Linked DNA regions of Canis lupus familiaris. The protein of the gene in region 6 interacts with the protein of the main gene of each other region in a biochemical or structural test. Links are inferred from orthologs where the notes say so. Each region holds a gene or a part of one and is shown on either strand. Other genes may lie near its edges. The genes, in order: RHNO1, TICRR, RAD9A, E2F1, MDC1 and TOPBP1.

What was found.
Region 1: the proteins of TOPBP1 (region 6) and RHNO1 form a complex in vitro, tested with the Homo sapiens proteins (2 studies listed by BioGRID). The link is inferred for Canis lupus familiaris from reciprocal best matches to the Homo sapiens genes TOPBP1 and RHNO1.
Region 2: the proteins of TOPBP1 (region 6) and TICRR form a complex in vitro, tested with the Homo sapiens proteins (2 studies listed by BioGRID). The link is inferred for Canis lupus familiaris from reciprocal best matches to the Homo sapiens genes TOPBP1 and TICRR.
Region 3: the proteins of TOPBP1 (region 6) and RAD9A form a complex in vitro, tested with the Homo sapiens proteins (4 studies listed by BioGRID). The link is inferred for Canis lupus familiaris from reciprocal best matches to the Homo sapiens genes TOPBP1 and RAD9A.
Region 4: the proteins of TOPBP1 (region 6) and E2F1 form a complex in vitro, tested with the Homo sapiens proteins (4 studies listed by BioGRID and IntAct). The link is inferred for Canis lupus familiaris from reciprocal best matches to the Homo sapiens genes TOPBP1 and E2F1.
Region 5: the proteins of TOPBP1 (region 6) and MDC1 are reported together in a solved structure, tested with the Homo sapiens proteins (3 studies listed by BioGRID, with this or other methods). The link is inferred for Canis lupus familiaris from reciprocal best matches to the Homo sapiens genes TOPBP1 and MDC1.

Annotation. Positions count from the first base shown.
Region 1 is NC_049248.1:4,136,168-4,140,451, forward strand, and holds the start of RHNO1 (RAD9, HUS1, RAD1-interacting nuclear orphan protein 1), read left to right. Parts: upstream 1-1,484; 5' UTR 1,485-1,596; intron 1,597-2,084; exon of another isoform or gene 2,085-3,074; coding exon of another isoform or gene 3,075-4,106; intron 4,107-4,284. Other genes in the region: TEX52 (testis-expressed protein 52), read right to left, coding at 1-291, 661-769, 1,128-1,207; FOXM1 (forkhead box protein M1), read right to left, coding at 3,075-4,106. UniProt on the Homo sapiens protein: Involved in microhomology-mediated end-joining (MMEJ) DNA repair by promoting recruitment of polymerase theta (POLQ) to DNA damage sites during mitosis.
Region 2 is NC_049224.1:53,071,994-53,075,922, forward strand, and holds the start of TICRR (treslin), read left to right. Parts: upstream 1-1,129; 5' UTR 1,130-1,202; coding exon 1,203-1,865; intron 1,866-3,929.
Region 3 is NC_049239.1:50,572,299-50,576,502, reverse strand, and holds the start of RAD9A (cell cycle checkpoint control protein RAD9A), read left to right. Parts: upstream 1-1,404; 5' UTR 1,405-1,535; coding exon 1,536-1,569; intron 1,570-1,652; coding exon 1,653-1,723; intron 1,724-2,162; coding exon 2,163-2,291; intron 2,292-2,693; coding exon 2,694-2,808; intron 2,809-2,896; coding exon 2,897-2,996; intron 2,997-4,204. UniProt on the Homo sapiens protein: Component of the 9-1-1 cell-cycle checkpoint response complex that plays a major role in DNA repair. The 9-1-1 complex is recruited to DNA lesion upon damage by the RAD17-replication factor C (RFC) clamp loader complex.
Region 4 is NC_049245.1:23,402,024-23,405,523, reverse strand, and holds part of E2F1 (transcription factor E2F1), read left to right. Parts: intron 1-2,320; coding exon 2,321-2,411; intron 2,412-2,791; coding exon 2,792-3,011; intron 3,012-3,500. UniProt on the Homo sapiens protein: Transcription activator that binds DNA cooperatively with DP proteins through the E2 recognition site, 5'-TTTC[CG]CGC-3' found in the promoter region of a number of genes whose products are involved in cell cycle regulation or in DNA replication.
Region 5 is NC_049233.1:644,695-648,668, forward strand, and holds the start of MDC1 (mediator of DNA damage checkpoint protein 1), read right to left. Parts: upstream 2,801-3,974; 5' UTR 2,786-2,800; coding exon 2,780-2,785; intron 1,303-2,779; coding exon 1,164-1,302; intron 613-1,163; coding exon 232-612; intron 145-231; coding exon 75-144; intron 1-74. UniProt on the Homo sapiens protein: Histone reader protein required for checkpoint-mediated cell cycle arrest in response to DNA damage within both the S phase and G2/M phases of the cell cycle.
Region 6 is NC_049244.1:31,088,102-31,091,601, forward strand, and holds part of TOPBP1 (DNA topoisomerase 2-binding protein 1), read right to left. Parts: intron 3,052-3,500; coding exon 2,855-3,051; intron 1,424-2,854; coding exon 1,244-1,423; intron 568-1,243; coding exon 398-567; intron 1-397. UniProt on the Homo sapiens protein: Scaffold protein that acts as a key protein-protein adapter in DNA replication and DNA repair. Composed of multiple BRCT domains, which specifically recognize and bind phosphorylated proteins, bringing proteins together into functional combinations.

The DNA.
Region 1 (4,284 bases), on a different chromosome or scaffold from region 6:
CCACACGTTGCTATCGTAGGGCCTGTCGGGCCTGGTGGGGAAGGCGGCGGGCAGGCGGCCCACGTCCAGCCACGTGTGGAAGCCCCAGGTGTGCTGCGCCGCGTCCTTCTCGGGGCGGAGCAGCCGGCGGCGCACCTCGGCCTTGCGCGCGGTGCAGGGCGGCAGCCTCAGAGCCAGCCGGCGGTAGGCCTGCGGGGTGAAGCCAGGCCACGCCCGGGCCGCACCAGGGAGGAGGAACTCGCGCCGGGCCCGCGTCTGGGACGTCAGGAGGGGCTCGCTGGCCTGGGCCATCTGGGGAGAGACCAGAGGGAGCCTGGGGAGCGCCCTGCCTTCGTCCCGGGAGCAGCTGCGGAGAGGCCAGGCTGCAGGCCCGCTCACACCCCGGCTTCTGGTCGGGACCCTGGTGGCCGGGCCTGGCCACGGCGTCTGCGGGCTGGGCCTGCCGTCAGAAGTCCGGTCTGCTCTGGAGGGTCCCCCTGGGTTTCTCACCTTGTGCTTTCGGATTTCCCACCCTGCTCTCCTCCTCACCGGTCTCCCAGCTCCTCACTTTTCACTTTCGTCCCTCCTCTGCACTCTGGCTGCCTCGGGCTCCTGCCAGGGTGGGGGCTCTGAACAGGGCCCAGGGGGCCCAGGGAAACTGTGAGGGGAAAGGCCCCTTACCGAGCGAGGCGTAGAAGGAAAATCATTCTCCGGAGAATGCAGCCCAGGGGTTCTTCTCTCCCGGACTCGTCCTCTTACTCGTTTCTCTCTCATGGGTGCGTTTCCCTCACTTCTCGTCCAAACACAAGCCAAGTATGGGGAAACATCTAGAAGGCTGGTTTCTTCCCTTTCCTTTGTCCCACCTCCCGTGAAATAAACTGGGCCCGTGCCTATAACTGGGCCCAGGTAGGTATTGGAACTGTGCTAAACACGTCCACAACTCAATTAACCCTCACAATCCTAGGAGCAAGCATTGTTACGGTCTCATCTCAACGATGCAAAAAGCAAGACATGGTGAGAGTCAGGAACTCACCCGAGGTTGCCAGGTCTGTGAGTGGCAGAGCTGGGACTTGAGCCATCTGTCCGTATTACTCATGAGACTATGCTCTTCTTTCCACCTTAGGACCTTATTGACTACAAAAACTCACCTGCCTCTTGGGCCCACTCTGCTGTCATTTCCACGTGACCACCCCAGGAGGTGGGGCTGGGAGATGTAATAACCAGGCATCTCCTTTTCTCTGTTCTGAGCTCTGTGTTCATAGTACCACAGGACTGAGAGACATCTATTGACCCCCTGACCCCAGGGGGGCAGTCCTTAGCCCAGCAGTGTGCAAACAGATAGGCTGTGGAGATAGGGCCCCACCTCCTACCTGCAAGAAAGGTTTTTGGACATGAGGCGGAACACGCCGCCCTCTGGGTTGTCTTGGTGGGCTACTGGCCATTCCACCTGTGGGCCTGATTGTCAGGAGAGGCCGCTTGGTAGGGAAGACTTTCCCTGGCAGCATTGTTTGCTGTTGGGGTTGCTATGGTGATGCTTCCTGGATGGTGACGCAGGAGGAGGCCCTTACCTCTCCCTGGGAGGACTCATCAATCCTTTGGGGCCTGGCTGCCTTTCAGGTGAGACAGGCAGGGGATAGGACTTATGTGTAGATGGTAGCCAGAGGGGTTTTTGGGGAGGGACTTGCCTAGGAGGGCAGGAAGAGAAAAGCAGGGTAGGCTGGCTTCCAGGCCCTGGGTTGGGGTGGACATGATCATGAGGTGCCTATAACTGGGCCCATCTTTCCTTACTCTCCAGAAGGGCAGGGCCCTACCCCTCTGTAGGTCTTTCCCTTATAGGGAGAACCAAAGGGCCAAGTTAACCATTAGGTTCAGTGGTTCTGAAGAGGCTGGCCATGCAGGACCAGCCTGGGAAACCTGCCAGTTTCTGATGTGTGCCTGCATAGGATGTGGGAGGCAGCCCAGGCCAATGCCCTGAGCACTCCCCTTCATGTGCTTTGTGTTGGCTTCAGGCCTTACCAATTCCCTGTCACCACCATCTCCATCTCCCATGTTCTTCCCCAACCCCTCCTTATGCCTCAGGGACCAGACACCAACACACCACAGAGAGCACTTCCACCCTGGATTTTATTGACAGTTATGGTAGTGTTCTCGAGCTGGCTCACATGCATGCGGTCAGCTGGGGCCTCAGGTGGCTCTTAGCAAAGCTGAGGTGTGAGCTAAGGAAGTTAGGCAGGGCAGGGCCCTTTCAGTCTTCTCAAGCCTTGGGCCAAGTTCTTGGCAAATGGCTCGTCTCTCTGGCATGATTAGGGACGTTATCAGAGAAACATCTCAGGGGAGCACATCTGGGCACCTGCATTCTTTGCTTCAGATGCATCCATTCCCCCACCCCCAATTCAACTCTTGACCCTTGACAAAAGACCTTTTTTTGTCAGGATTTCTTCTTGCAGGAAAGCTGACTTGGAAACATGGGAAGGTGGGAAGGGAGGGGGACAATAAGCAGGACCCTAGGAAGCAGATCTGCTTGTCTACAGTAAAGAGCCCTGAAGGCAGGTGCCCTGGGCCTGGAAGAAACCGTACACTGCGCGTCCTCCCTTCTCTAGGAATTGAAAGCAAGGAACAGGAGCAAACAAACCCCTTGTCATCCTACCCACCTTTCTGGCAGTCTCTAGATAATGATCTAAGGAAATAAGCTTACATTTATAATTAGAGGATAATTTGGAGAATATACACTATTTACAAGGGCTGCCCTGCAAGGATCAGGAAAAGTGGGGGACTCCTGGGCACAGGTGTAAGCAGTCCGAGGAGTTCCTAATCTCTTTTCACCCTTGCTTTTGCCATTCCCAACCCTTAGCTCCTAGCAGGGAGAGTGAGGAACCGGATTCTTTTGGGGAGCAGTGGTGGCACAGTGACCGGTCACCAGGACCTTGCTGCTTGCAGAGGGCTCAGTAGTGGCCACGGCATGATGTCCGTCTTGGCATAAGCAGGCAAAGTGGAGCTAGAGGGGCGGACGGTCCCTGCCTGCTGTCCTCGGATGGCCCAGCCACCCGAGATCCTGGAAGCATGGACAGCTCAGGCAGCAAGGGTAAGGTAGGCCTCTACCGTAGCTCAGGAATGAACTGAGCCCAGTTGATGCTGTCCGGGCCCAGAGGGTCCTCCTCCAGGCCAGGAAAGCTGATGTCCAGCAGGATCTTGCTGAGGCTGTCATTCATCGTGTCCAGAACCAGGCCTTCTGTCAGAGAGCGGTTGGCTGAGAGGCTGGCAGCCTCTGGCCCAGGGGAGTCTGGCTTGGGGACTTCCATATCTGAGGGGGAGGAAGTGCTGAAGGGGTCAGAGGTGAGGTCAAAGGGCTCAGAACTGAGGAGCTCTCTGGGCGAGTCAAAGAGGGGAATGCTTTTCAGGGGGGTGGTGCTAAAATCCGTCAGCCCCAGGGCATCAGGCAGGGGGCCGAAGGCAGCCTGGGGGTGGTGTACTGGGCTGAACTCTAGCCCCCCTACTTTGGCTGGGGGTGTGAGCCTCCAGGATTCGGGGGTCGCGGGGAGGACAGATTTGCTTGGAGTGGAAGAGATGGGCAGCGTCTCCTTAATGGGCGTCTTAAAAGGTCCTCCCTCCTCTTGGGAGTAGCCAAGCCGGGAGGCAGGCTCAGAGGACTCTGTGGGCAAAGTAAGCTCGGTGGCTCGCTGGGAAGCCCCGGGGCCCTGGGAGAAGAGCAGCTCGGGCTCCGGCTCATCCAGGCAAGGAGGCAGGAGGTGCTGTTTCCTTCGAGACCGGCTCATCTCCCGCCCCTCCCTCCGTTTAATCACAAGCATTTCTGAGACACACCGGGCTGGGGACTTGAGCCCGCTGTAGGACCTCTTGGGCCTTGGCGTGGGAGAGTGGGAGGAGTCCTCCCAGGAATGAGAGGATTCCTCTTTGATTGACGGGCACGGCGAGGGCCACTCCTCCAAGGGCGGGCTCTCCACTTTGATGGGCCTCCCCAAGTGTAGCGTCTCCTCCCCAGGCTGGGGTTCTTCCTCCTTGATGGACTGAACTGGAAGCAGAGGAGACAGCCCTTCTCCGAGCGGGAGTTTGTCCTCTTGCAGGGGCCCTGTGGCCGGCAGAGGGGCCACCCCCTCCTCAGCTAGTAGCACCTGAAAGGGAAGCAGGGGTGCAGTGAGAGGAAGCTCTCTGGGCCTTAACATTCACCCCACCCACCAGGCGGGACACAAGATCGTGACTAAATCAAGCCATAGGCTGGTACGGATCCTCATTTTCTATCTTTTAAAAGTCTTACAAACTATGAAATACGAGAATATACGATGAAGGTGG
Region 2 (3,929 bases), on a different chromosome or scaffold from region 6:
AGTATATTCCCCGCTACTATAAAAGTAACAAGGAAATACAAAATTATAGACAATTTAGGAAAGAGTAATATAATTTTAAAAAGTAAATCAGCATAATGTCATCACCCAGAAACCATGACAGACAACTTTCTGTACAGTTTTATCTTAACAGTTTAAAAATATACACATAGGGATGCCTAGGTGGTTCAGCGGTTGAACATCTGCCTTCTGCTCAGGGCATGATCCTGGGGTCTTGGGATCCAGTCCCCCATGGGGGCTCCCTTCGAGAAGTCTGCTTCTCCCTCTGTTCGTGTCTCTGCCTCTCTCTGTGCCTCTTATGAATAAATTAATAAAATCTTTAAAAAATAATAAAAATATTCACATAGAAAATCCAGGGTTCTCACTGCATGCAGTTTGGTAGTCCTTTTTTTTTTTTTTTTTTAAATCTACTATTACATATAAAAAGCTACAGGATGTTCCTTCCCTTTAGGGTGTACCATGCATTAACCATTGCCAGTTCCCATTTGAGCTGTTTTCCAATTTTTCTCAAGTTAGCTGACTCTGATAAACATACGTCTTTCATTTGTATCTAATTATCTTCTTCAGAGAAACTCCTTGAAATCATTGGGACAAAGGAAATGAACTTGTTAAGACTTTTTTCTTAAATCACAGAAAACGGAAGTCTTTATCATCAGATTCTACTCCATAGAAAGCCTGGGGTGGCTTCATCCCAGTCTGAATCAGACCTTCTCCATCCAATTCCCTCCCACTACCAAGTTTGCAAACTTAGTAAACTCCTCCCAGCAGCCCGCACCCGCGCCTGCGCACAATCGCCCAAACGCCGGCCTCCAGCCCAAAAGGGAAACTTAAGGACACGCCCCCGAAGCACAACCTCTTTAAATTTTAAAACGAAGGCCTCAGCCAATGAATGTGAAGTTTCTCCCGGAACACGGGGCCCCGCTCACGGCCACGCCCTCCGCCAATTAGGCAGAGGGCTTCTCCGTCTCCCTTCCAATCAGCGCCCAGGATGGAAGTTACTCACGTAAGGTACGTAAGGCAAGCGACCAATAGGAGCTGATTTTGGGGGAGGGCTCCGCCAATGGCAGGAGCACTCGGAGAGCGCGGGAGCTTTTCCACCGCAGCTCCTGAGGGAAGCGGTGAATGGCGCTGGTTCTCTGAAGCGAGGCCCGCGGCTGGAGCTCCGGGGCTGCGGCGCGGGCGCCATGGCCTGCTGTCACAACGTGATGCTGCTGCTGGACACCGCGGGCGGTGCCGCCGGCCGGAGCTCAGTCCGGCGGGCAGCCCTGCGCCTCCTCACCTACCTGAGTTGCCGGTTCGGCCTGGCCAGGGTCCGCTGGGCCTTCAAGTTCTTCGACTCTCAGGGGGCGCGGGGCCGGCAGTCCCGCGTGTCTGACTTCCGTGAACTGGGGGCCCGCTCCTGGGAGGACTTCGAGGAGGAGCTGGACGCCAGGCTCGGGGCCGGCGCCCACGGCGCCCACCTGCCGGGCCCCGCGCCCAGGGCCAGCCACACGCACGGCGCCCTGATGGAGACGCTGCTGGACTACCAGTGGGACCGGCCCGAGATCACGTCGCCCACGAAGCCGATCCTTCGCAGCAGCGGGAGGAGACTGCTGGACGTGGAGGGCGAGGCCAGGGAGGCCGAGGCTGCGCTCGGGGGCTTCGTGAACGCGGTCTTCCTGCTGGCTCCCTGTCCGCATTCGCAGAGGGAGCTGCTGCAGTTCGTGTCCGGCTGCGAGGCCCAGGCCCAGCGCCTGCCGCCTCCCCCGAGGCAGGTGATGGAGAAGCTGCTGCCCAAGAGAGTCCAGGAAGTCATGATCGCCCGAAAAATCACCTTGTACTGGCTGGATACCACCGAGTGGCCTAAGGTAAGTTCGCGGTGAGCTCTGACTTGGCGCGCGGTGTCCTGCTGGCTGACCGGGACCTGGCGGTGTCTCCGCAGAGGCGGGGAGACCCAGAACGAGACTAGCACGACCAGCATGTGTCTCCTTCAGAAGGAGAGTCCTGTGATTACGAACTGGGACGATAGGTAAGTAGATCCTTGGTACATCCTAAGGTCAGCATTTAAGGTCCTTCATAATTTGGGTCCTGTCTGCCTTCCCCGGTTCTACTTTTCCTACGAATCCTCCAGCATATTATTATTATTATTATTATTTGGGTCCTGTCTGCCTTCCCCGGTTCTACTTTTCCTACGAATCCTCCAGCATATTATTATTATTATTATTATTATTGTTGTTGTTATTATTATTTTAAGATTGTATTCATGAGAGAGAGAGAAAGAGAGAAAAAAGCAGGCTCCATGCAGGGAGCCCGAAGGAGGATTCGATCCCGGGACTCCAGGATCACGCCCTGGGCTGAAGGCAGGTGCTAAACCGCTGAGCCACCCAGGGATTCCCCCTCCAGCATATTATTGAAGCATCCTCTAGTCGTTCAACAAATCTTGACTGCTTGTTCTGTCTTACCAGTCACCCTGAATGCCAGCGCTCACTCTGCTATGCCTGTTTAAACTCCTCTCTAGCCTTGCCCCGTGGCAACTACTCAGCCTCAACTGAATTTCCATGCACTTTTGTGGCACCTACCCTTTCCGGGTTATAGGTTCCAATTGTGCAAATCGCCTTTCATTTAGTCTAAAATACCTCAAAGGCAGGTACACACACACACCTTTGTATTCCCTGCAGATGCATGTCGCTGAACATTGTAAGTGGAATGAATTTGGGTACTTACAATGGTAAATGGCTCATTTGGATCTTTATTGAGCCAGTAGGACCTCTGCTTCCGTTAAATACACAGAGATAAATATGTACTTTTACCCTTAGCATTTTCCTTCTGTCATCTTCATTTAGTGAACAAATAGTCATTGAGAGGGACGCCTGGGTGGCTCAGTGGTTGAGTGTCTGCCTTCAGCTCAGGTGGTGATCCTGGGGTCCTGGGCTCGAGTGCCAAATGGGGCTACTTGCAGGGAGCCTGCTTCTCCCTCTGCCTATGTCTCTGCCTCTCTCTGTATCTCTCAAGTATAAATAAATAAAATCTTAGAAAAAAAAATCATTGAGAAGCCATTACATCCAGTGCCCACTATACTGTTAGAGCTGTGGAGGGGTGTGGTGGTCAGCTGAGGTGGTTTACCTTCTAGTGAGGAAGATACATTAAACAGATAAGAATAAACAGGTGAGCAGGAAAAGGTAGAAGGGTGGGGGACTGTTGTATAAAGGGTCGGGAGTGCTCTATGAGCAGAGGAGGTGACAGAGGAGGAACAGGAAGGTTGGGAAAGAACATTCCAGGCAAAGAGCAGGTATAAAAATTTGAACTGGAAATAAGCTTAGTTTGTTTCAGAAAGCACATGTCCTTTTCTAGACAGTAAAAGTGCGCAGTTTCTTCTAATTGCTGGGCAGTGGCTTAACCAGGTCAAATAAGTGGGCATGTGTTTCCACTTATTGGAAACACATGTCATTAAACTAGGAGTGGGTTAAATTGCAAGATTACAAATGGAAAATGAGCAGGTACCTAAAGAATGATAATACAATGTTAAAATTTCCAACATGCTTTCACACACAAAGCTCAAAAAAGACATCGTAAATCCAAAATAAGGCAGCAGTGGCTTGTCAAAGAAAAAGAACAAAGGTCTTCAAGGTGATTGTAAACATTTGAGAAAATGGAATTCTAGAACTTAAAATTTGTTAAGGCAACAAATCAAGTTTTGGACATAGTACACAAGACCTAACTGCTTGATTTGGGATAACTGACACCAAGTCACACCAAAAACTTTATTCTGGAATTATATCAGAAACTGGCTAGAAATAAATCTTAGCAGATGGGGCTTGGAGATTTTTCTCCTTTTTCTCTTTTTGGAATAGCATTGCAATAAATAGATTGACCGAATCTTTTTAAAGATCTCTTTCAGTTCTCACATTCTACCATCTGAGGGAATGGGTCCT
Region 3 (4,204 bases), on a different chromosome or scaffold from region 6:
TGTGATGGGCAGTGGGGGCTGGTGAACAAAAGGCCTGTCTGAGGACCAGCAACTAAAGCTGTGCCCTAGGAAGAGAAGGAGCCAGCAGGGGGAACGTCCGTCAGGAGGACGTTTTAGGAAGATCGCTTTGGTGCCATTTGGAGAGCGGACTGCAGAAGACAGGAGGCAAGAGACCATTCAGCTCCTACAGTCGTTCAGGTGAGAGAGGATGGTGGCCCGAGCCAGGATGATGGCTGTGGAGATGGAAGAGTGTGCCATCTCTTTGGAAGGTGGGACAGTCAGGGCTTATACAAGGACTACAATACCTGGGGTGATGGAGAGGGTCTAGGCTGACTCCCAGTGTAAATGCCTGGGTTGAGGGGGGACCATTTACACTGACCCCCATGGAAGGCAAGAATAGCCTCACCCAGTGCTCTAGAGAAGTCTGGTGATGGCACGGACACTGAGGCACGGGGGGCGGGGTCCGGAATCACAGGCCAGGAGCTGGAGGGCAAACGGCTGGTAGACAAACACCACTCCTCACTGCAGACAATACCAGAAGGGCAGGGCCAAGCAGGTCCTAAGAAATGTGGGGATGCCCAGGGCCCTGAAAGGCCCTACAGAACCTGGATGCTGTGGGGGCTTGAGTTCAGGAAATCCCTTAGGGACTTCCCTTCCACTTTGCAGACTTGGAGCCCAGAGCCCAGGGCGAGGGGGAAAATTCCCTGACGAACCGCCCCCTTCTGCACAGTCCTGGAGGCTTTTTAAAAATGACCCCATAAACGTGACTCTTCCCTCTTATAACGTTTCCAGCGCTTCCCACTGGTGTCCCCCACCATTTGGCAGCCTTCATCCCTCTGCAAGGCTCACAGGCCAGTTCCCTCCACGAGGGCCAAAGCCCACGCACCAATGCCCTTTCCTCCCGCTCCCCCTGCTAGGTACACCCTTCTACTCCTTTGAGCCCCCAGAATCTTCCGTTCTCCAAGGGTCAATGACGGATCCTCGAAGCCACAACGAACAGCCACTCTCCCACGCTGGAGTCCTGCAGGAAACTGCTTTCATCTCGTTAGAGCTGGTGGCTGCTGCCTGCGTCCCCGGGACGCTCCAGCTCGACCCCACGTCCAGACAGGCGCCCAGGAAGACCGGTACGAAGCGGCCCAGGAGGGCTCGCCCGCACACGTGCTCGCTGCCTCGCGCCGGGGACTTCGTGCTCTTGGTGTCCAGGTGCGCAGCCGCCGAGGCCCCGCCACGCCGGCCGGCGCCCCGCGCTCCCGGCTCCGGTGACCGCCGCCCGCCCCTCACCGGGGACCCCGTCACGTGACGGCGGAGCAGCCGGACGTTTTCTCACGTGACGGAGGCGCCGGCGTGTGGACCAATGAGAAGGCGGGGGCGGGGCTTCCGAGGGGCGGTGCGCGGGAAGGGAACGCCGGGCCGCTCGGCGGCGGCTGGTGAGACCCGGACCCGAGCCGCGGGCGGGGTGGGCAGGGCCCGGCGCGGACCAGCCGCCAGACCCAGCCCGGTCGGAGGCCAGGCCCGACCTCGGCGCTGGGGGCAGCATGAAGTGTCTGGTCACCGGCGGCAACGTGAAGGGTGAGTTCGGGGCCCCCGGGGGCGGGGGCACGTGGGACCGCGGGAGACGCCAGCCTAACCCGTTTCTCTTCTCTTCCCCGCAGTGCTCGGCAAGGCCGTCCATTCCCTGTCCCGCATCGGGGACGAGCTCTACCTGGAGCCCCTGGAGGACGGGGTGAGGGGGGTCACAATCGGGAGCCAGCTTCACCTCGTGTCAGGCTAGATGCCCTTGGGCAGAATTGTCTGCCAAGGTTGCTCCCCCCCCCCCCACCGTTGTTGGGGTGTCAGGTTGGGTCCTGTCATCTTCCCAGGCCGGTGTGTGGATCGAGAGCCATTGCCCTCCCCGAAGTGCCTTGTGTGTGTTTGGGGGGGGGGGGGCGGGTAACTAGGGAAAAAAGGCAGTGTGTGCTGACGGTTGTGTAGGGCCCTTGCCACCAGGGACTCAGGGAAGGCTTCATGGAGAAGGCAGTCGCTGACTGGAAGGAGAGGGAGGATTTCAACAGGTGACGGTGGAGGAGGAGGACATTAGGACAGGTGTGAGCAGAAGCCAGACAGAGGACAGAGCCTGTTTCTGCCCCCTGACCGCATCCCTCTCCCTGCTCTTCCTGGCCCAGCTCTCTCTTCGGACGGTGAACTCCTCTCGCTCTGCCTATGCCTGCTTCCTCTTTGCCCCACTCTTCTTCCAGCAGTACCAGGCCACCACCTCTGGTCAGGAAGCCCTGCGCTGTAAGATCTTGATGAAGGTGAGGTGTTCCCCCCCCCCCAACCAGGAATGGGTCCACCCTGGGGCATTCAGAAGATCCTGACTGGGGAGGGGGGTGTATGCAGGAGCAAACCAATGTAAAATGCATTGAGGTGTACAGTAGAGACACCACAGAGGGTAATGGGAGCTGGGGAGAGGGTAATAGATCCTTCCAGGGACCTGGAGAGAGTGGTGATATTGAAAAGTAAGCAGATCTTTCAAGACATCCCAGACAGGTGTGATAGCATGAACAGAGAAAGGCCTGGAAAAGCATAAGTGTTCTGCATGTTGTGGGAGCTCCCTCTCTAGTGTGACAGTGCTGAGCCTGGGATGGCCAGAGCCTACATGGGATGTGGAAGCTGGTTGGTGGAGGCCACTGGGCTGATGGGTTTCCCTTGCACAGTCGTTCCTGGCTGTCTTCCGCTCGCTGGCAACGGTGGAGAAGACTGTGGAGAAATGCTGCATCTCACTGAATGGCAGGAGCAGCCGCCTGGTGGTCCAGCTACACTGCAAATACGGTGAGGGGGCAGCTGACTGGCCGAGGAATCCCTGGGGTGGAGGGGTGGAGGTTAGCAAAACCCACTGAGACCCCATCTGCCCATCCAGGGGTGAGGAAGACTCACAACCTGTCCTTCCAGGACTGCGAGTCCCTGCAGGCCGTCTTCGACCCAGCCTTGTGCCCCCATGTACTCCGTGCCCCAGCACGGTGAGTGTGTCCCTCTGGATACAGACTGAATGTGGGTCTTTTTTTATTTTTTGGAGCTTCAAGGGTCAATTTGAGAAGACACCTTCTTCATTTTCTCTACAGAGTTTCTGTGAACCTCAAAAAATTAGTCCAGATCAGTTTGCTCTCAGGTCTGGCTCTTTAAGGGCAGAGGCTGGAATAGAGGAGGGCATTGCTCTGTGCTCCTCACTGTGTCCAGGAACCTGCATTCTCCACCCTAAAGATCTGGCTTGGCTTTCTGGCCACTTGGACCCCTTCTGACTCCCCTTTTAGGAAGCAGGTCTCTTGCTTGCCCTTAAGTCCCCTTCCTTGGGCTTCAGGAGCCTTGAATGTCCATCTTTCACTTTCTGGCTCAGGGGCTCCAAATTCTTCTCTGGAGTAGTCATCTTTCTGGGAGTGTTCTCTATTCAAGGGCAGCCTCTCTTCCCATCTACTTGGGCTGGAGCTTTGAGAAGTCCACAGGCCAAGGAAGGAGGCTGGACAGGGAGGCCATGCTCCAGGAGGGCAACCTGGATCAGCAGCTGTGGGGGTATGGCTGTCCTGGGAAAATCAGAGCACACCTAAGGGCTATGCAGGGCCTGGGAGATGGAGTCTACAGAGGAGGCAAAGGTTCCTGCAGAAGACCAATGTAGAGAGGGATGGCTCCCCTCCCACCCCATGCTGGATGCTGCTTGCATCCGAGTAACCCAAGGTAATGTTCATTTCTTTTTGTAGCCATAGGGTATGATAATTTGAAGTTTCCTTCGGGTCCTGAGTCTGTTTTTCTGAGTTCTGTTGAGATAATGCTGCTTAGGACTCCTTTGGGTAGAGAAAGAGAAAAGGATATCACCTCTGGTCTGGATTTTGGAGCTTTATTATTATTTTTTTTTAATGAGCAATTGTTTTTCTTCTTTCTTTGTTTTTCTTCAAATATGTATAAAAGTGGATGTCTGCTCCCATCTGCTCCGGTTCCAATTGTCTTGAGACAAATTCCAATTGTTACTTCATATGTAAATATTTGTCAACATGTATTCCTAGAAGACAGAGATTTAAGGCCTTTTTCCTGAAGGCTGAATTTCTAGGGATGGCCTGGGTGTGGTTTCCCACCCCTGGGTGGGCAGGTGCTGCTTGCCTGGTTTGGCCCAGTGCAAACATTCCATGCTTTCTGTTGCCTCCTCTGGGCTGTGCTCTTGTCTGCCCCATCCCTTGCA
Region 4 (3,500 bases), on a different chromosome or scaffold from region 6:
TTCACCTCTGCCTTTTTAGGTTCCTGTGCCAAGCTCTAGAGTGTGGTGGCTGAAATGGAGACCTGCTTGAGCCCTTGCTTTAGGGTGTGGCATTGACCTGTCATCACGGTGGGCATGGGCCTGAGGAGCAGGGAGATGAGGGGTGCAATTGGCAGGAGGATGCTAGGTTCAGGCCTAAGGGGTAAGGCCGGAGAGGAGACACACATGGCTTTTGGGGGCTGGTCTCTGGACGAAGCTGCAGGGAAGCAGGACACGTAGTAGGTAGGAATATGGGCTCTGGGTCAGCCCATTAGGGCTCACATCCTGGCCCTATCTCTCATTGTCAGGCCTCTTGGAAAGTAGAGGTCATCATGGCATCTGTTGCAAGGTCTGGGCAGAGGGTTTGATGACTGGATGCAGGTAAAGCCATTATTTAGCAGGGCTCGGTACACAAGAGACACTCGACATGTGTGAGCACTTCTATCCCCGGGGCACCTGAGGGCATCCATGAGTGTGCGATGAGAGTGAGGGCTCGTTGGCACGTGCAGAGGTTCACACAGCAGACGGGAGTTAACACCAGGCCCTGCGAACAGTGATGATTCCATAATTCCGGTCCAGCGCCTGCCTCGGGGCACTGCCTTCTGGGTGAGACAAATACATCTCCAGAAGTTGGTTGCAAGAGATATTGTGGGGAAAGGTCAGGTTTGAGGCATTTTGGCCTGGTCTCTTGCAGGATGAGAAGACCTAAGTAAGGAGTAAGGTGCCTTCCCGCAGAGGTGTAAGAGTTGGTGTGAAGGCAGGTGGGGCATTCATGGGAGGGAAACGGCTCAGGCTAACACTTGGAGGCACAAGTTTGTGAGAAAACACGTCTGAGCAGAAGTTTACGTGGAGAAGTGGCAGAGGAGGGCACTAGGGTGGAGAAGGATAGGTGGAGGCAGGGAGTTGGCTGAGTGGTCCAAATGGGAGGAGATAGTGGCTGTGGCGAGAGGTTTCTCAAAGGCTACCAGATGGCTGCCCAGTGAGGGTCTAGCTTGGGAAACCCCGTGGGTGGGGGAGGACTGGGGTGGGTCAGGATGGGCCTGAGATGCCTGAGATATTCTGGGGCAGTCTCCATCCTCCCGTGTGTGTGACTAAGAGGGTGTTCTGGACAGGAATCCTGGCTTGGCTGCTTCCTGGCTGTCTGACTTGGGCCTCTCTGGGCTTCAGTTACTTTATCCATAAAGTGGAGCCATTATTGTGCTGCTAGTCCATAGGACGGAATGAACTAACGTGCAAAACGTGGTGAGTACTAGCTGCCACCATGTTCACAGAATCCAGAGAGAGAAGGTAACTTGCCCAAGGGACCTGTATCCTAATGGCTTAAAACAACAAGTCCTTAATACAGCACTGTGTGTTAATATACTGGCATTGAAATTAAAAACAATAAAAAAGGGTAGCCCCCGTGGCGTCAGCGGTTTAGCGCCGCCTGCAGCCCAGGGCGTGATCCTGGAGACCTGGGATCGAGTCCCATGTCAGGCTCCCTGCATGGAGCCTGCTTCTTCCTCTGCCTGTGTCTCTGCCTCTCTCTCGCTCTGTATCTCTCATGAGTAAATAAAATAAAATCTTAAAAAAAAAAAATAAACCCCAATAACAAACAATTATTATCACACAGATTTTGGTGGGGCAGGAATTCAGAGGAGACTGCTCAGTGCTTCTGGCGCAGGATCTCTGCTGAGATCGTAAGCCAAAATGTTGGGCGAGGCTGCAGTCATCAGAAGGCGTGACCAGGGTTGAAGGACTTGTTTCTAAGACTGATGTTGCTACTGGACAAGGCCTCAATGCCTTGCCACTCAGGCTTGCGTGACATGGCAGTGGCTCTCCCCAGAGTGAGTGGTCCATTATAGAAAACAAGGAGGAAGCTCCAGTGCAGCTCTGACCCAGTCTGAGAAGTGACTTGTCATCACTTCCATCCTACTGCTCTTGAGAAGCAAGTTACCAGATCTGGTCCATATTTAAGGGGAGGAGAATTAGGCTCTATTTTTTTGTTTTGTTTTGTTTTGTTTTGTTTTGCTTTTTTGAAAGGGAGAGTATCAAATTTGCAGACAGATTTTAAAACTGCCATAGGCACCCAGGGAAATACTGGTGGAGCTAGAACTTAAACTCAGGTCTTCTGCGCCCCATGGTTGACTGATCTGTCCTGTGCGGTAGGACTGTGTCCCCTGGGATCTCCCCATCCCTCATACACATAGGCGACATGATAGAGAAAGTGGGGCAGGGGTGACCCAGGAGCACCAAGCCCAGAGCCCAGTCTTTGTGGCCTCGCTCCTGGTTATTAAATATCATCCCATTGTTTCTGCCACAGGTAAAGCGGAGGTTGGACCTGGAAACTGACCATCAGTACCTGGCTGAGAGCAGTGGGCCAGCCCGGGGCAGAGGCCGCCACCCAGGAAAAGGTACCCACAGAGCTGGGGCTGGGGCAGGCCCCCTGACCGGGCCCAAGTTGGGGGTGTGGACAAACATGCTTGCAGAGTAAACTCTGATCTGTCAGGCCTGGACTGGAGCCAGGCCTCTGGGGGCCCTGAGGGGCAGCTGGAGTGGCTGCCTGGCATGGCTTCCCCAGGCCCTGGGGGGTGGGGAGTTCCCCAGCCAGAAGAGGAATGTCTCGTGGTTGGCAGGCAGCAGCCCCAGGCCCTCATGGTTGGTTTTGCCAAGGGGAAGGAGCCATCTGCCCATCCCACTCCCATCTTTCGGCCCTGTCCTGCACTGCCAGGAAGGCTAGCCCACCTAGGTGTGGGGGTGGTACTGAGGGAACCCTCCTTGCCTGGACCCCTAGGTGTGAAATCCCCAGGGGAGAAGTCACGCTATGAGACCTCACTGAATCTGACCACAAAACGCTTCCTGGAGCTGCTGAGCCGCTCGGCTGATGGCGTTGTTGATCTGAACTGGGCGGCTGAGGTGTTGAAGGTGCAGAAACGGCGCATCTATGACATCACCAACGTCCTCGAGGGCATCCAGCTCATTGCCAAGAAGTCTAAGAACCACATCCAGTGGCTGTAGGTACCAGCCCTTCAGGAGGGCAGGCGGAGGCTAAGGCCTGGGGCCAGGCCAGCATGGAGGAGCTGATAGTGATCCCCACCGTGGCTGTCCGCATCCTCATCGTCTAGCTGGGGAAACTGAGGCTCGGAGGGGGAGGTGGCTTCTCTGAGGAAGTTTCCACAGATTTCACATACGCAGCTCAACGCACCCTCGTGTATTTCTTCGTCTGGGGAGTCACCATCCAGATCAGGATAAAGAACATGTCCGGCACCACAGAAAGTTCCCTGTGCCCTTCCCAGCTGTTGCCCATCCCTCTTAGCTCATCACCTCTTAGGTGATGGCTCTTATGCCCTCTGTCACCCTCAGTAGGATTGTTAATTCTTGTTAATTTTTTTGGAAAGACTTTATTTGACAGAGCACAAGCAGGGGGAGCAGCAGGCAGAGGGAGAGGGAGAAGCAGGCTTCCTGCTGAGCAGGGTGTGGGTCTCCATCTCAGGACCCTGGGA
Region 5 (3,974 bases), on a different chromosome or scaffold from region 6:
CTTGCAGATAGATTCTACAGTCCCTGGTTCCTCCTCCTTTTAAAGATGTAAGTGTCTGGCCCTTTGGCACTTACCTCTCTGGAACTACTGCTGCCAAAGGGGAGGTCCTTGGTTCTTTCACCACACACCTTTCAGAAGGAGAATCTAAGAGTAAAAAGGAATTAAGTTAGTTGACTGTTCTATACTCACCATCCCCATCTTCTCACCCACCCTCCCAATATACAAACATACCTACTTCCTCCTCCGAGTCCTCAGCCAACAGGAGCCCCTGGGGTTGAGTTCCTCCCTGTACCCTGGGTGTCTCTTCTACAGTTAGAGGGCCCCGGGAAACAAAGGGCAGGGGGACATTCAGGCGATGGTACTGGCAGGGCAAGTCAGCAAAGAGAATCAACTCCTGGTCCCTCAGCCGATGACTCACCCCTGGGCTTAGGACCTTAGGAGGCCTTAGGACTTGAGTACCATTGAGGCTGCCACAATCTTGGAGGACAGGTGCCTTGTCCCAGGCCAAGATTTCAATGACTGCATGTTGTTTGGAGATGGATGAAAAGGGCAGGGTCACAGAGCAATCAGGCATTCGGCCTACCATATTCTTCCCAAGATACAGGGGAAAATCTAAGAATTAGAGAGATAGATAGGTTAAGGCCTGAGTCTTGGCCTGCTATCGGGAAAATATTCCTGTTAAGTAAGTACCCCACTACTAACTCAAAGTCCCCACACACATAAGAAAAATAAAAGACGGTAGGACGTATAAGTATTGAAGAATATAAGCAATGCATTATTCATTGTCAATACCCCATCCATCCACACTGGATTTTTTCTACTGCAGTAAAATATACATAAAATTTACCATTTAACCATTTTTAAGTGTACAGTTTAGTAGCATTAAGTACAGTCACATTGTTGTGCAACCATCACCACCATTCATTTCCAGACCATGCTGGATTTCCATCTGAATCTCTTCATCTTCTCCTACCAAAGTAAAATTGAGCCCATTGAGTCCAGGGTACTTGCCAGGAGCAATCAACTCAATCAGCCCCTCCTCTGCATTCCCAGTGAAAAACTCAGATCTCCTCGAGACATATAAAAGATGCTTACAACCGTCCAACTACCTCCCCATAAAAATAAGAGGCCTATACCAGTACTTTATCATCCAAGAAACTGACCTTTTTCTGGTCCATGGGCACTACTGAAGATATGCAACCGCCCTACAGGCTCTAAGCCACGCCCCAAGGCTTCACTGGGTCTCTCTGTCTCCTCCTCTTCTTCAATCTCCCAGTTGATAGCCTGGGTGTCCTCCATGACCTGGGAAGTAAACACATTATCATCTCAGGTCCTCGGGCAGTCTCAGAGAGGAGGCTGATAACTGGAGATAACCCTGGAGAGTTATAGGAGATTGACATGTCTCCTATCTTTTTTTTAAGATTTTATTTATTGGGACACCTGGATGGCTCAGTGGTTGGGTGCCTGCCTTCGGCCCAGGTGGTGATTCTGGGGTCCCAGGATCCCATCCCACATCGGGCTCCCTGCAGGCAGCCTGCTTCTCCTTCTGCCTCTCTCTGTGTCTCTCATGAATAAATAAATAAAATCCCAAAATAAAATGTGGGACTCCATCCCGGGACCCCAGGATCACGACCTGGGTGGAAGGCAGGGGCTCAACTGCTTAGCCACCCAGGTGTCCCGACATGTCTCCTTCTGACAACCAACCTGTTATTATCCTTCTGAACTATTTAAAAAACATTTGTGTCTATAATAATAAATAAATATTACGGGGGTGGGAATAAACAGTATGAGATCCCAAGTACACATACTACAAATGCATGTGCTTATGTATAAAGAGACAAACATTCTGAGAAAAAACAATGCTTAGCCTTATGGTATATGATATACTGATAGTTTTCATTTTTTTTTTCCCATCCACTATTGTTTAAATGCTGATCTGCAACCTGCTAAATTGATTTCACCATCCACTTACTGGTTTGGAACCCACAGCCTGAAAAAAATATTTTAGAGAGAGCTAAACTTTGCCAAGCATCAACTATGTGCTCAGCATTGTGTTATGTGTTAGGCACCATGGACATATGAGGCAGGCATTTAAAAAAGTAAGGCTAAGGGACACCTGGGTAGCTCAGCAATTGCGCGTCTGCCTTCAGCTCAGGGCATGATCCCAGTTCAGGGATCAAGTCCCACGTCGGTCTCCTTGAATGGAGCCTACTTCTCCCTCTGCCTATGTCTCTGCCTCTCTCTGTCTCTCATGAATAAATAAATAAAACCTCAAAAATTAAGGCTAAAACATTAAATGACTTGCTTAGGGTAACATAGCAGGTAGGTGGAAAGGATAGGAACAAATGTGCTTCTGGAGGCAAACCGCATGCTTTTTATACTTTAGCAGAACATCTCAATGTGATCAACTAACTGCCGAGAATCCTAACAACCGAGGTACATAGAGGCTTGTTCTGTATGAAGCATTACTCTAGTTTATACTGACACTCACTTAATCCTCATAAAAATGTTTTAAACTATTATTATTACTCTATCAGACTAAGCAACTGCAACATAGGCGGGTTAAGGAACTTGCCCAAGGTAAACAAGGTATTTTCTGTCCTCTGTTTAATACTTCATGGCTTTCCATGCCCACAGGATGAAATAAAATCTCAACTCTTTAGCAAGATCCTCCATGATCTGCACCTCAGGGCCTGCTTCCCTCTGCCAAAGCCTATGGTTCAGCCACATGGACCTGCTCTCCCCAAACTGAACACACTGCTCCTGTGGTTCCCCATACCTGCATGCCTTGGTCAGTTCCTTGGCCCTTAGCTCCTAGTTTTCTGGTCCAACTCCTACCCATGATTTATGGTTCAGTCCAAATGTCGCCTCCTCAGTAAGGCCTTTCCTGGAGGCGTCCTTGCTTTCTGTTCTTGGTGTCCCCACATGCCCCCCGTGGTCGGAGAACTTTTATTTCCCCTAACACTTCTCACCATATTGCAACCATTACTTTCCATTTCTGCCTTCGCAAACTGTGTCTCTTCCCCTAGGTCACATCATATTCATTCAAGAATACCTACTGAGCACCTGGAACTGTTCAAGGAGCTCGGAATACAGTCACAAAACAAACAAAATTAACCCCACCGTCCTGCGAAAGGACAAATGAAAGGTGATGAAAACTCAAAACGGTGAGGGTGGAATTCCCTTAGAGACTAACTGCTGACAGGGAAAGCAGGCGTCGTCCCCGGGGAGAGCTGACTCCGTCCCGCAGGCAGGAACTCAACGGGAGCCCAGGCCCCGCGGCTCCATCCGGGGCGCCACCATCTTTCATCTCCACCCCAGGGGCTTCCCGCCGGGCCCCACGTCTCCCCATCTTCATACCTAACCTCGGGGCGGGGCGTCAAGTAAGGCTGAATACTACAATCCGAGAAACCAACCGGCAAGTGCCGTCCGCCCCGGCGCGGCAGGGCACGCCCCTCCCGCCCTACGGGAGGATCAAGATGGCTCCCGCGAGCGGTGGGCGCGGCCCCCAGAACTCACCCACTGCGAGTCCCCGCGCGCCGCCAGTAACGGCCGCGACCCGGCGCGCGGGAGCTCGCGCCGAGAGGGCGCCGGCCCTTTGATTGGCTTCTGCTGCTGTCTCTCACGACCGACGACTGAGGAAGCGCCCAACCGGGGGGCGCCGCCAAGGTCCCGCCCCGCCCCGCCCCGCCCCGCCCCGCCCCCTCAGCAGCTCAAAGGGGCAGGTCTTCCTGGGCGCCTGAAATCGGTTAAGTGAGGCGGTCACCCGAGGCTGCCGTGCGCGCACTGAATGGCGCGCCGCGATTGGGCAGCTCCAAGGCACAGCGCGGCACCGCCGCACCACGCACCGCCCACTTCCCGCGCAGATTTCCGAACCGCGACCACAGAGTCTGGCTCCGTCGGTGGATAGAGGGGCCGGCCACAGTCGTCGCCGAGGCGTCGGCCGCGGCCAGAGAGCCTTCCTCGGTCCTCCC
Region 6 (3,500 bases):
TACACTAAAAAGTTAAGGAGCCCAAGAGTCATTAAACAAAGCAGAGGGTCTAACGGTTAGGAATATAGGATTTGCAGTAGATAGCTATCTACTTAATGTTTGTGTGAATTTGAGTAAGAATTTTAATCTGCTAAACCTCAGCATCATATCCATTTTAGTTATTTGTGGGAATTAAATGAGATTATTTACAACATATTAACAATATATATGAATTGATTAGCACAGTCTAGCATCTTACAAACAATAAATGACAATTACGGACAGATGTGGCCTAATGCTTGCATCTGCTCCCCTAGAGTGAAAGGCTTATTTTATATGGATAAGGAGTAAGCCCAACTCTGAGGGGTCCTCAAAGTCAGACTAGGATCACTGCATATATAACATAATCAAGACATACCCGACAACCATCTAATAAATCTTCAGGTGCTTGAAATGCACTGACATCCAAATTTTCTAGATTTTCAAGGGTAGGCTCCACTTTGCTATTAAGCACTGAATTACACATTGATTCATTTATGCAACTTGCATTGATGTTGGAAATATGGCTGACATCTGAAAGAGTACGACCTACATATCAAAGATATGGAAATTTATGGAGATAAAATTGCGATTACCTATTTTCCTACTATTTTTCTTATACACAAAGAGCTGTGAACAATTTCCAAATTAAGCTTTAAATGGTTTAATTGAAATCTTGGTGGTCAAGTATCAAAGGAAATTGAAATAAATTAAAGTTCGTATATTATTCAAATAAAAATACACTTAATACATTTTAATAGTGGTTTGCTTCCATTAAAATTCTGAAGTTGCTGACTGTCGGGTCTGGGAAAGAAAAAAGTATAACACCTGCTAAATTGCCAATGTGGCACCTACAAAATCGAAATAGTTTTCAATTTTCTATGAATGCAGATGGTCTATAACAATTGTAGCAAAAATGTATTAACATTTGCCCACCAGTCAGGCTTGGAAAAATTTATTCTTTTAAGTCTTTATTAATACTCTTGATTTCCTTAATCATCTTTTGCATTAAATCAAGGTATGAAAGAAAATATTCATCTATTATAAAAGGAAATACCTGGAGTTCTAGACTAATTTTCATACAATTTAGTTATACAATTGTGCCTGGAAGCAGAGCAAGAAAGGATGGAATTCCCTACTATATCTCACTGATTCTATTTACAAATCAATTCTAACACAGAAAATGGTGGTTAAAAATGTCTACTTTAATCCCACTGAAACTTACTGTCAACTGTGTGGATCTGGCCAGTAGGAGTTGAAGTATCAGGCATAGTCTTTGTTTCTGGTCTAGGCTCTGTCTTGTATATGGATTCATCCTGACAAAAACCTTTGTCAACACTGTCAAAAAACCACTGTGTGGTCACACAGTGTACATTCCATCTCTTGGCACATTCATATTTTTGACCTATCATGTTCATTAGGAAACAGAAATGTAAAACATTAAATTCTATCTCTAGAAATATTCGAAGCATGATAGGTAATGGGGAAAAAAAAAAATCAACAAAATTAAAGTTACCAGTAATTAATCTTACACAAACAGTAGGCTATACAGTGTATGTGTGGGGGTATCTTTTAAGATTGCATAATTTATGTGGGATAATTGAAATATTAGACTTAGTTTGAGTATAGCCTCCACTGCTTAATTTCTTTAAACCAATTTCTTAATCTATAACATGGGAATAACTCACAGAATTATATGGCTTTATTTATTTATTTTTATTTTATATTTTATTTTTTTAATTATGTGGATTTAATAAGACTACTTAAAACAACTGTTAAGATTGTAAATGTCTGTAATATAAAAAAAATACCAGCTTTGAATAGACCACTCCAATGTCAATAGGATTCAACCTGAAGTCAAAATAAATAGGTATATAAGAAATATATCTTTATTGCCTTAAACAACTTCTAACACAATGTATTTTGAAAGAGTGTCCTAGAGAAACTGAGATCAATATGTAGTAAACAACAACACAAGAAGGATTTTTTTGGACATTGAGAGTTGATGAACAGACTTCAGATTTAGAAATTCAACAGTAGTTACCAACTCCACTCACAATTATAATGTCACAATTGGCCATACCCAAAAGTTTTGATTTAAGGACAATTACTAATTAATTTTAGCAGGGTTTATTTTTTTTTTCTAATTTTGTTATCCAGGTAGCTTAATAAAACACTATAAAGAGAACAAAAACATTAACAAAATTCTTACATCAATTTGTATATATTTTAAGGGTATTGGTGTAAAAAAACAAAACAAAACACAAACCCAAAACACCACTTCCAAAATAGATATAAAGGTCACAGGACACCAAAATTAAACACAATTTTAAGGAATTTTTATTGGTAGTGTTATTTTTTTTCTTTACCTGCCTCATGTTGGCAAGGCGTATCTTCAAGTTACAACTTGTAATTCATTCAATAAAGCTGATTAAAAACTAAGCCAAGCCTTTTTTTTTTTAAGCCAAGCCTTTTAAACTTATCATTAGAAAGATATGTAATTTAGCTACATCTATTAGCCTTTGTGTTATTCATCCAAATTTCTTGTTTTGTTTTTGGTAATTATATAGGAAACTTTTTTCCTTACAAAAAACATATCAAACAATAAAAACCACTGGAAACAGAAAAAAATACTTTTCAGAGACCTGGGCAAACCTGGATAGTCATGTAATTTTTCTAAAGATTGTGACCCAAACTATCTTTTTAAGACTTTAAGGGAGCAAAAATTACCAGATTTATAACATATCAGATAAAAAACCTATTCTGTAAAGATTTTTAATTTTAAATGCTATAGAAAATTTTCCGTTTTTTTCCATTTGGAAAACACAGTTTTTACCTTTTGGTTCTTGCACAATGAGGTGTGTACATTCATTCATTTTCAGTTGTCCCATATATTGACCTCCATGCTTAACTGTGAGTTGCTGAACTGCCTTCCTATCTAAGCTACACAACCCAGTCACACAGATTATGCAACCAAGAAAAATTGGGCACTTGAAGTCTTCCATGTTTACATCAGTATATCTAGATATTTTTCTGGGGAAAACAAAGGAAAAATTAACATATTAATACACTAGATTGTTTAAAACTTAGACGAATAATGACAAACAAAAGAAATCATTAATGCTTTCCTCATTTTTTTAGAAAAAAGGGAACTGACACTTAAAAAAAAATTACACTAATTGCTCATCTAGCTCAACCATGTCACTGGTAAAAAAAATATTTCAGATGGTTTCCCAAATAAAACTGTTTTAAGTAAAATGCATTTCATTAACTCTGTAAGTCCATGCTGGTCAAAGTGGTGTATTTTCCAATATTTTAATTGTGAATTTACTTAAAAACTCAAAGGATCTTGGTTACTTACTAGAAAAATGGACTTTTTATCCGTCCATTATATCAAATAAATAATAAGCAATGATTTTTGGCAGAATACTAACAAAAATATCATCATTCTTTTACCATGTAAGAGAGATGTGCTAGGAATG